Schizosaccharomyces pombe: one gene and its partner. Changing the gene in region 1 together with any one later gene gives a genetic interaction. Each region holds a gene or a part of one and is shown in the gene's direction. Other genes may lie near its edges. The genes, in order: ftm6 and cip1.

Region 1 (3,254 bases):
GTATACTGGATTTCTTTATATAAAGACGTATATGTAGTATCAGAGATTTTTGACATGATCCAGTATGAGGTATCTCCTGCAATTTGGGTGTATTCTATTTGTCATTTATTGAAACAATGCACGTCTGTAACAACTTACGAAAATGCTTCAAAAGCCAGATTTTTTAGAAGAATGCTAAATGCATTTATCTTTATATTCTGTGCATCTCCAATGTTGCATTACCTGTCGAATATTATATTTGGAAACTTTGATTACAGACTGTCGGTGATCATTGGTGATCTTTTCACTTTTATGGAGAAAATTGCTTTTCCATGTTACATAATGTTTCCCACCCATAATGAAGCACTTGCCTACAATCGAAATGTAGCTGAAGAGGCTCAAGAGAAAATGATTTGACAAAAACCATGGTTTACTTGATTCACCTTTAAAGGGGTTACCGGGATTATTTTATTTATTATTTGTTTATCAATGGATTAATATCCAGTTATTTTAATCTCACTTTTTTACACAGAAATTGTGTAGTAAGTTCATTCTTATTTAATATACCACCTATTTATTTTTTACAAATGAATATTTTTTTACTGGAACGTTTTAAATACACATAACCTTTGAGTCGATGTGAAATAATGTTTTGTTCAAACTTAAAAGTTGCGAATCTGACATATAGACAAAAAAAAAATAAAAAGAAAAAACTGGTTACCTTCATAAACATATTTTGCTAATTTATTGAATTTAATTATTTTCAACTTGCTTTCCCATTTTCCCAACAATTTTTTTATCTATAATATATATTTTACAAAATTAATATAGTACATCGCATGGTTTTCTTTAAAACGACATAAACGTATAATAATAAACGGGGATTCAAAGTAATAAATCGAATCCAAATCAACTTTCAAATACATCCATTTCATCTACTTTACCCTTATATTCCCCTTCATATCCCCAACAAAAAACAGGAATTTGCGAAAGTAGTAAATGGTAAAAGTGAATAAATAGAATCAAGGTTAAAAGCTTACTTGTATGCATAAGAAGATAACTCCCTCCTCTTTACTTTTGCTTAAAAACAGATTCTGAGATTCGGGACTAGCATCGGTAATATAAGTTTTTCTTTCATACTGTTGAGTACTAGCATCAGAACCCTTAATGGTAGGAAGATCATCATCATGACTACGCCTTTGTTCAATCGAGTAAACATTTGCTGGTTCGTGCCAGTCACACTGAGAACAACAAAGTACCTATTATTAAAAATGTTAGCAAGCGATCGCTAACAAGTTGAAAAGTAAACACCTCCAACTATTCCATGGAAAGCATGTAACAATGAAGATCAATGAATGGCTATTAGCTTAACAAACTTGTAAACTCAAAACAGACTAACAACGTTTGTCAGGCACTAAGAGCAATAATGGAACAGACTTCATATCAAACGCTTTCTTGAATGTTCTTACCTTATTCGTATAAACCGGAAGAACAGGCACAATGAGAACCGTTACGGTTTTCAACTGACGACATACTCGGACTAAAAACAAAATGTTATGTTAACATTAATAAGACAAGTTTAAAAAAAAAAAGAAAGAGCCAATTGCTTTCGAAACTACTCAACTTGTTTATTTCTCGTACCAGTCTTCTTTGAACTAAAAAAAAAAAAAAAGCATTAGCAAAATGTGTTGTCAAACGGATAAAAAGAGAACAGGAAGAAGATTGCTGGAAACAATTTTAAAACAGCGAATAAAAAAAAAAGAAAAAATAATAATAATAATAAACAAAATACGAGTCGCTAATTTTTGAAACTAATCGCTTCCAACAACTGTTTCATTATAACTTCACCATTTTAATATTGTCCCCAAACAGCATGATTTAATTCTCTTTCACTAATTTCATACCACACAGGACACGTAAGTAAAACATCCTTATAATCGTCAGTGGATATCCACATATCTCGTAAATGTAATGGCATTGTTAAAAAAAATAAACACTCAAGTGAATAGAATTATGAAGAATTCGAGTCTAGTTCAAAATATTTGTTTTGACAGAGTCCCTCTATTTATACCAAGACTAAGCCTCACAGTGAAATATTGTCTAGCAGTAAAATTGCTGATTTATTTATTATATTGTTGGTACATTTACTCGGAAGTACCATCGGCTTCATCTAAATTCCGATCCTTTACATTTGGATGCGTCGTAGTATATCATAACAAATTTTTTCCTCGTTTCATTAGAACTCACTCCATTAACTCCATTAGAACGTTTTCTAAATTTCAAGTCATTATACTTTTCTCTATTGAGAAAGTCACTAGGTCAGAAAGCAAGAATCATTCTTACTCGAAAACCGATATTAGTGATCTGCACCAGGGCTATAATAATCCACCATCAAGATTCATATCACAATAACAATTCCATAGTATCTTGCTATATACGTGTAATGAGTATTCGATACTGGCTTGATTGCTATTTCTCCTTTGCTTGTAATCGTAAAATTGACTTGAAGATCTAAACCTTCTAATGCAATCATTGGAATTCTGCCTAACCTGATCAAATATGGCTTGATCACCGTTAAGTTAAAAGCAGAAGCTATGCCAATCAGTATGATTGTAACTTACAAAAAAATATAGCACAACGACATACAACATTATGGTACAATAAAGAAGACTTGATATATCAAGAACGAGGTTCAGTTTGTGCTCCGTTTATATTATTGTATTTCTATATATGACATTACTTGATGCAACCGCTTAAATATGTACTTTTGTGTAGTTATACTCGCAAGTACAGTAGCATTTTTAAAGTAGCGGTGATGTTGACGAATGGTTTGTTTCAAATCCATCCATTTCAATTTCAATTGTAAATTTCTCTTTTTCAATTATTAATCAAGTAAGTTGAAGTGTATCAGCACAATAAATTCTGACTATTACTACTCTTAAAATAAAACTCAAGCGAAACTAATTTTTAATAGCAAGTCATATTCTTAGTTTGATATGCTATCCGCTTTGGTTTTGCATTGTTATGACTTTGTATAACCTAATAAGGTGACGAAAAATCAGTTCGTTTATATTTTTGATGAGAAGAATTCACTATTATTACACAGAAAAACATTTACTTCTTATTAGATACCTTCAATATAATATATTTTTTAAATGTAATAGCGACGACACTACCCATAATTTACAATACATTGTATGGTAAACAACTGAGTAGTTGATACACCCGATTTTCATTGAGTCATACACTTTGCGCTTACTATCACTTTATTTGAT
Region 2 (4,917 bases), 4.3 Mb from region 1:
TGCACCACAAAGTGCACTACCCAGCATGAAAAAGAAAATGCAAATGTAAAGTACTATTTTTCTTCCAAGGATATTGCAAAATACACCGACAGCAGGAAGAACTGCGTTGGAAGCAAGGACATAGGCAGATCCAATCCATGATGAACTTGATGTATCATTAAAGTCTTCAGCTATAGTCGGCAAAGCAGTGGTGACAATTGTATTATCTAATGCAGCAAGAAACAAAGTAAGAATTAAGGCAGGAACCACTATTTTCATATTATTTTCTGGGATTAATTGTATATTGGTATCATCATCATTAGAAGCAGATTCTTGTTTAGAGAATTCAGTGGATTGCTTATGCACGTCAAGTTCATTCACTTTGTTTTCATCCGGAACTATGTCGGTTTCTTTAACTTCCTTTTCTTCATTGGAAGGATATGCTGTCAATATAAAAGGACTGGTGGTCTTTTTAAGGGATAGTCCATCTATTGAATTTTGCCCTTCAGCAGCATTTGTTTTAGAGCCGGAAAATGAGTTGTGAGATGAAGAACTAGACATTGCGTATAATTTATGCTCTTGAATAATAAAAATTTTTTAAACAAATGGCCGCTAGTTGAGATGGACGTTTTTTAGACAATTTTACAAATATTTTTAAGGGGGAGAATAAAGAAAAACAAAGACAAGTAAACAAGGAAATATCCTAATAATAAAGCACTAAAAACCCTATCCAAACGCTTATATATTCCTTATAGTCAAATTTCTCATTGTTGAGTCTTATGGTGATTAATTTGGTAAGCGGCTTGCTAGTGGTATTCAGTAAATTTTTATACAAATATGTGTCTAAGTGATTATCACGAAAATCAGACTACTAGCACAATAACATAATCCATCGAGATCTAATACAATTTAAATAAGGAGAAAAGTGAGAGATGTGACATATATTTGTATGCACACTGACAAATTGTTTTGCAGTATTTGCTTTCTCCGGTACGTCGCTCCCCCTTATAATGAACTTCTTTAGTAAGCAGGAGGAGCTTGAACGCACTTCTCAAGAGTGCATCCTTGTTGTCATTCTAGATATGGTTAAACGACAACATGCGAAATATATCAAATAGAAATTTGCGTGGAGATTCCGCGTATCTACAACAGCTTTTAGCCACGTGTCAATTACACGAACCAAGTTTGAAGTGGTAAGATTTCTAAAATGTAATAAGAAACGCAAAAGGAGGTTTTAAAAAGTAATTTTTCCTCGAAGTGTGATACTTGAGTACATTTCAAAAGAAATGGGTGTGCACGGTGAAGCCTTTAAAAGTCATCTAACGATAGTAATTAATGCTGGATGGAAATAGTTCTTAACGCTTAATATAAGTGGTTTTTATGAAATAGAATAAAAGGGAGGATCGCTGCAGCCGTCAATGTACAACAACATGGCACTTGCTTGACATTTTAACGACTCAGCGAACGTATAGTAAATAAGATTACTTCGATAATTAATAGGTGTCGGTTGAAATAACATTTCGTCTATTAGCGAATGAAGGATCGATAATAAAAGCATTCAAATATGCCTGGCATTGTACATTTCCATGATACGCCTTAAAACAAAATAGCAAGTCTGAAGTCAACAGGAACAGTATAGTAAAAAGAAATAGCAGAAAGGAAGAAAAGTTAAGCAATGCTCAAGTCTACTCGAATTTGGCTAATGGAGAGTCCAGCTGTCTACTTTTATTTATCTATACTCTTCTACAGCTGACAAGATACTCGTTTTCGGTAAGGCACAGCTAATTTAGATTACTCGTTTATCATGAGAGATAGCAAAAAAGCTAAGAACAGCTTCAATCGGCTTTTTACGTTCATACTGCTACTCAATATGTTCAGATTTATATTCCTATTAATTATTAACTGCCTTACTATTTACGCAAACAAGTAAGTATATTTTTTTTTGTGTATAGTAAAGTGTTTGCTGCTTTTCGTTGTATTTTGTTAAACAATTTGGTGTGCTACCGTGTGATGCTGCTGAAAGAGACGCTCAATTAATCCTTAGACTGAACTAGCATCTACAAGTGCAGTATTCTAAGGGGCAAATTACGGGAATTTCCTAGTCAATTTTCTCTGTTTTCACATATAACTTTTATTCCTCAGAATATATCTGGACTCGTTCCCCCGCATCTAGAATGCCTAATGAAATATTTCCCTGGAAAATTCGTGTGGATGAAAGTCGAGGATTAGCAGGTAATTCTGGGACGAAAAAATCAAATCATGAAGCATTATCAAGATTACAATCACCCTTGAATTCTCCTAAGCTACAGCCAATTGGTTCTCCTCAGGCTTCTAGGAAAACAAGCGGTTCCGGTTCGAGTGCTCCGCTGTACCCCAAATGGTCCGGTGCCCTTTCTCTTGCTAGTAGTCGTGCTGCATCGCCGGCTCCTTCTGATAGCTTTCCTACTTTTGGTTATTCTCAGCTTGGTGGGCTAGAAAATAGTTCTAAAGGTTCCGCGCTTTTTAACAGCGCCAATTCTATTGGAACTCCGTACCTCTCGTCCAGGAACTCAAATTCAGCAAATGAGGCGAGTGCTATGGCTTTCCACAATGTCTCTCCTCCTAGTGGTGCTGAATCTTCTTCAGAAAGTAAAAGCTTTTCTGCCAGTGGAAAAGGCAATAAAGCTGATACATCCGCAGAGCCTTCGTTGGATGCTTTTAACAGTACCCAAATCAAAGCAGGATCGACTGCCAATTCTAATTCAACACCGGTTGAACCCGGTGAAGATACCATTCCAACGGCTATTGTTGTGAAAAATATTCCTTTCTCGTTGGAGAAAGATACATTGTTGGATCATTTTAAGCAACTAGGTATTCCCAGACCTTATGCCTTTAATTATCACTATGACAATGGAATATTTCGAGGATTGGCTTTTGCTAATTTTTATCGTCCTGAAGAGGCTCAAGTTGTTGTGCAAACGCTTAATGGCTATGAAATTAATGGCAGACGTCTTCGTGTTGAATGGAAACGCCAATTACCAGCTGCAGAACGCGAGAAGGTGGAAAAAGCAAAGAAACGTCAAGCTGAAGAAAGACGTCGTAAACAGCAGTACAAGATGTTTGAAGTTAGCTTTACTGATCAAGGCTTAAATTTGAATGACACTGGTACCCTTGAAACTTATAGTAGACTTCTATTGTTTGCTCATCAATGCATTCCTTCTCGTGAAATAACATTTGAAACCACTTCTAAGGACGGAAACCTTCTAAATGCCATTAGAATCTTTTGCCTGTACTTTGATCTCGATTACTATGCTCGCCCGAATGGAGAGGTGTTAAAATTAGTAGTTACTCATCCGAATAAAAAGAATACGAGCGTAAGTCAGTCGCAACCTGCATCTCCAAATTTAAGATTTAATATGCCGGCACCGTTAGCTACTCGATTTTTGCAAGAGCATTCATTGAATGGTACTAAGAGTGCCCCTATAACCCCACCTCCCAGTTTCGCAGTACCATTGACAAACCAACTTCGTTCGATTGACGACAAAATTTATGGAAATGAATCACCGCTTCAAAAGGCTTCTACTTTGAGTTCACCTTTCAATTCAAAAAATGATAATGATGCTTCTACCTCCGCTTCCAAGCAGAGTTTTGGTGTCTCCCACTTTTAGAGTCTATGCAATTATAAAGAAACTGTTTATGTACCTTTTAAGATATGATTTTTGTTTACGCCAACTATAGATGCATTTACTATACGCTATTTGTTTTGACTAAATTTTGCTCTTTATCCCTTTATCACTTACTTCTGATGAATCTAAACTCTATGGGCTTCATTTTGTTGATTTTTTGTTTTCCCTTTCACATAGTTGGTTATCCAGCAAATAATCCTTTTAAATACTTAGAAGCTTATATTTTATCGTTTTGAATTCCCACGACACATTTGGACGACTCGACTTAACAGCAATCAATGATGGATATATGTTGGGTGAGGCATAATGTTTTATGACGATAATCAACGGATGAGCGATGCTCCTATTTTTTTACAAATTATAACGATTTTTCTTGTATAAGAAATTTATGCCCTACCGTATAATATACACATACTTTACATGATTAAATTTAACCTTGGACAAATACATTAGTCTGATATTACAAAATTGAACTTTTATTTTTGTAAATTTAATCATCTTCTTTATGTGGATGTGAATGTTCCTAGCTTAGTATTACCGTACTATGGATATAGAAATAAACCTACGATTTAAAGTCTATTTTCTACCAAGCTTGTAGGGCTTTAAATGAGCTACTTTAAAATTACCTAAAATATCGTTAAATTTTCCTATATAATGCGAATTGATTTATATGTAAAAAAGAAAAAGAAATTGCAAGCATGGTGGACTTTTAGTTCCATTGTTAGTAAGTTGTAATTAAAGGAAGTTACAAAGGATTCACTAAAATAAGAATACTTTATGGGTTATCGCAGCCTTACTCAATTACTGCACTTGAATGTCTATTGAATTTAAGAATGAAGAAAGGATAACACAAAGATGCACGATTCTTTTTGGATGAACTTTTATTTTTTGTTAAGGTTATGAAAAAAGATGAAATACACTTGACCTTGTAATTACTGCAGCTAGAAAAAGAAAATATTATAAAAACCAGTTTCATGAGTTATGGCTGGAAGTACCGCACAACACCATAAATATTGATAATCTGCTATATTGCCGATAATATAAAGTTAAATTAGTAGAAAAAGTAAACTAAGAAACAGAAATTTTCTTATTTTACCCATATAAACCTATGTATTAGAGGATAGCAATTGTATTTATGAGTTCGAGGGGAACAAGATCATCAACTGCTGCCGAGCAGAAAAGGCAGGAGGATGTAAATAAAGAATCAAATATGAATGATTCTGTTACTGAATGGTCTGTTTTAGAGGAAACCTTACTGTTAAAAGCTATTTGT

The links.
Region 2: mutations in ftm6 (region 1) and cip1 together harm fitness more than expected from each alone (negative genetic interaction), as found in Schizosaccharomyces pombe (one large-scale study listed by BioGRID).

Annotation. Positions count from the first base shown.
Region 1 is NC_003423.3:8,619-11,872, forward strand, and holds ftm6 (transmembrane helix domain-containing protein), read left to right. Parts: upstream 1-1,950; coding exon 1,951-2,391; 3' UTR 2,392-2,733; downstream 2,734-3,254. Other genes in the region: ftm5 (transmembrane helix domain-containing protein), read left to right, coding at 1-396.
Region 2 is NC_003423.3:4,261,182-4,266,098, reverse strand, and holds cip1 (RNA-binding protein Cip1), read left to right. Parts: upstream 1-2,021; 5' UTR 2,022-2,153; coding exon 2,154-3,626; 3' UTR 3,627-4,281; downstream 4,282-4,917. Other genes in the region: SPOM_SPBC16A3.17C (transporter), read right to left, coding at 1-540; NuA4 histone acetyltransferase complex subunit Eaf7, read left to right, coding at 4,780-4,917. UniProt on the Schizosaccharomyces pombe protein: Regulates global gene expression after oxidative stress. Interacts and stabilizes mRNAs and may regulate their transition between different cytoplasmic components after oxidative stress.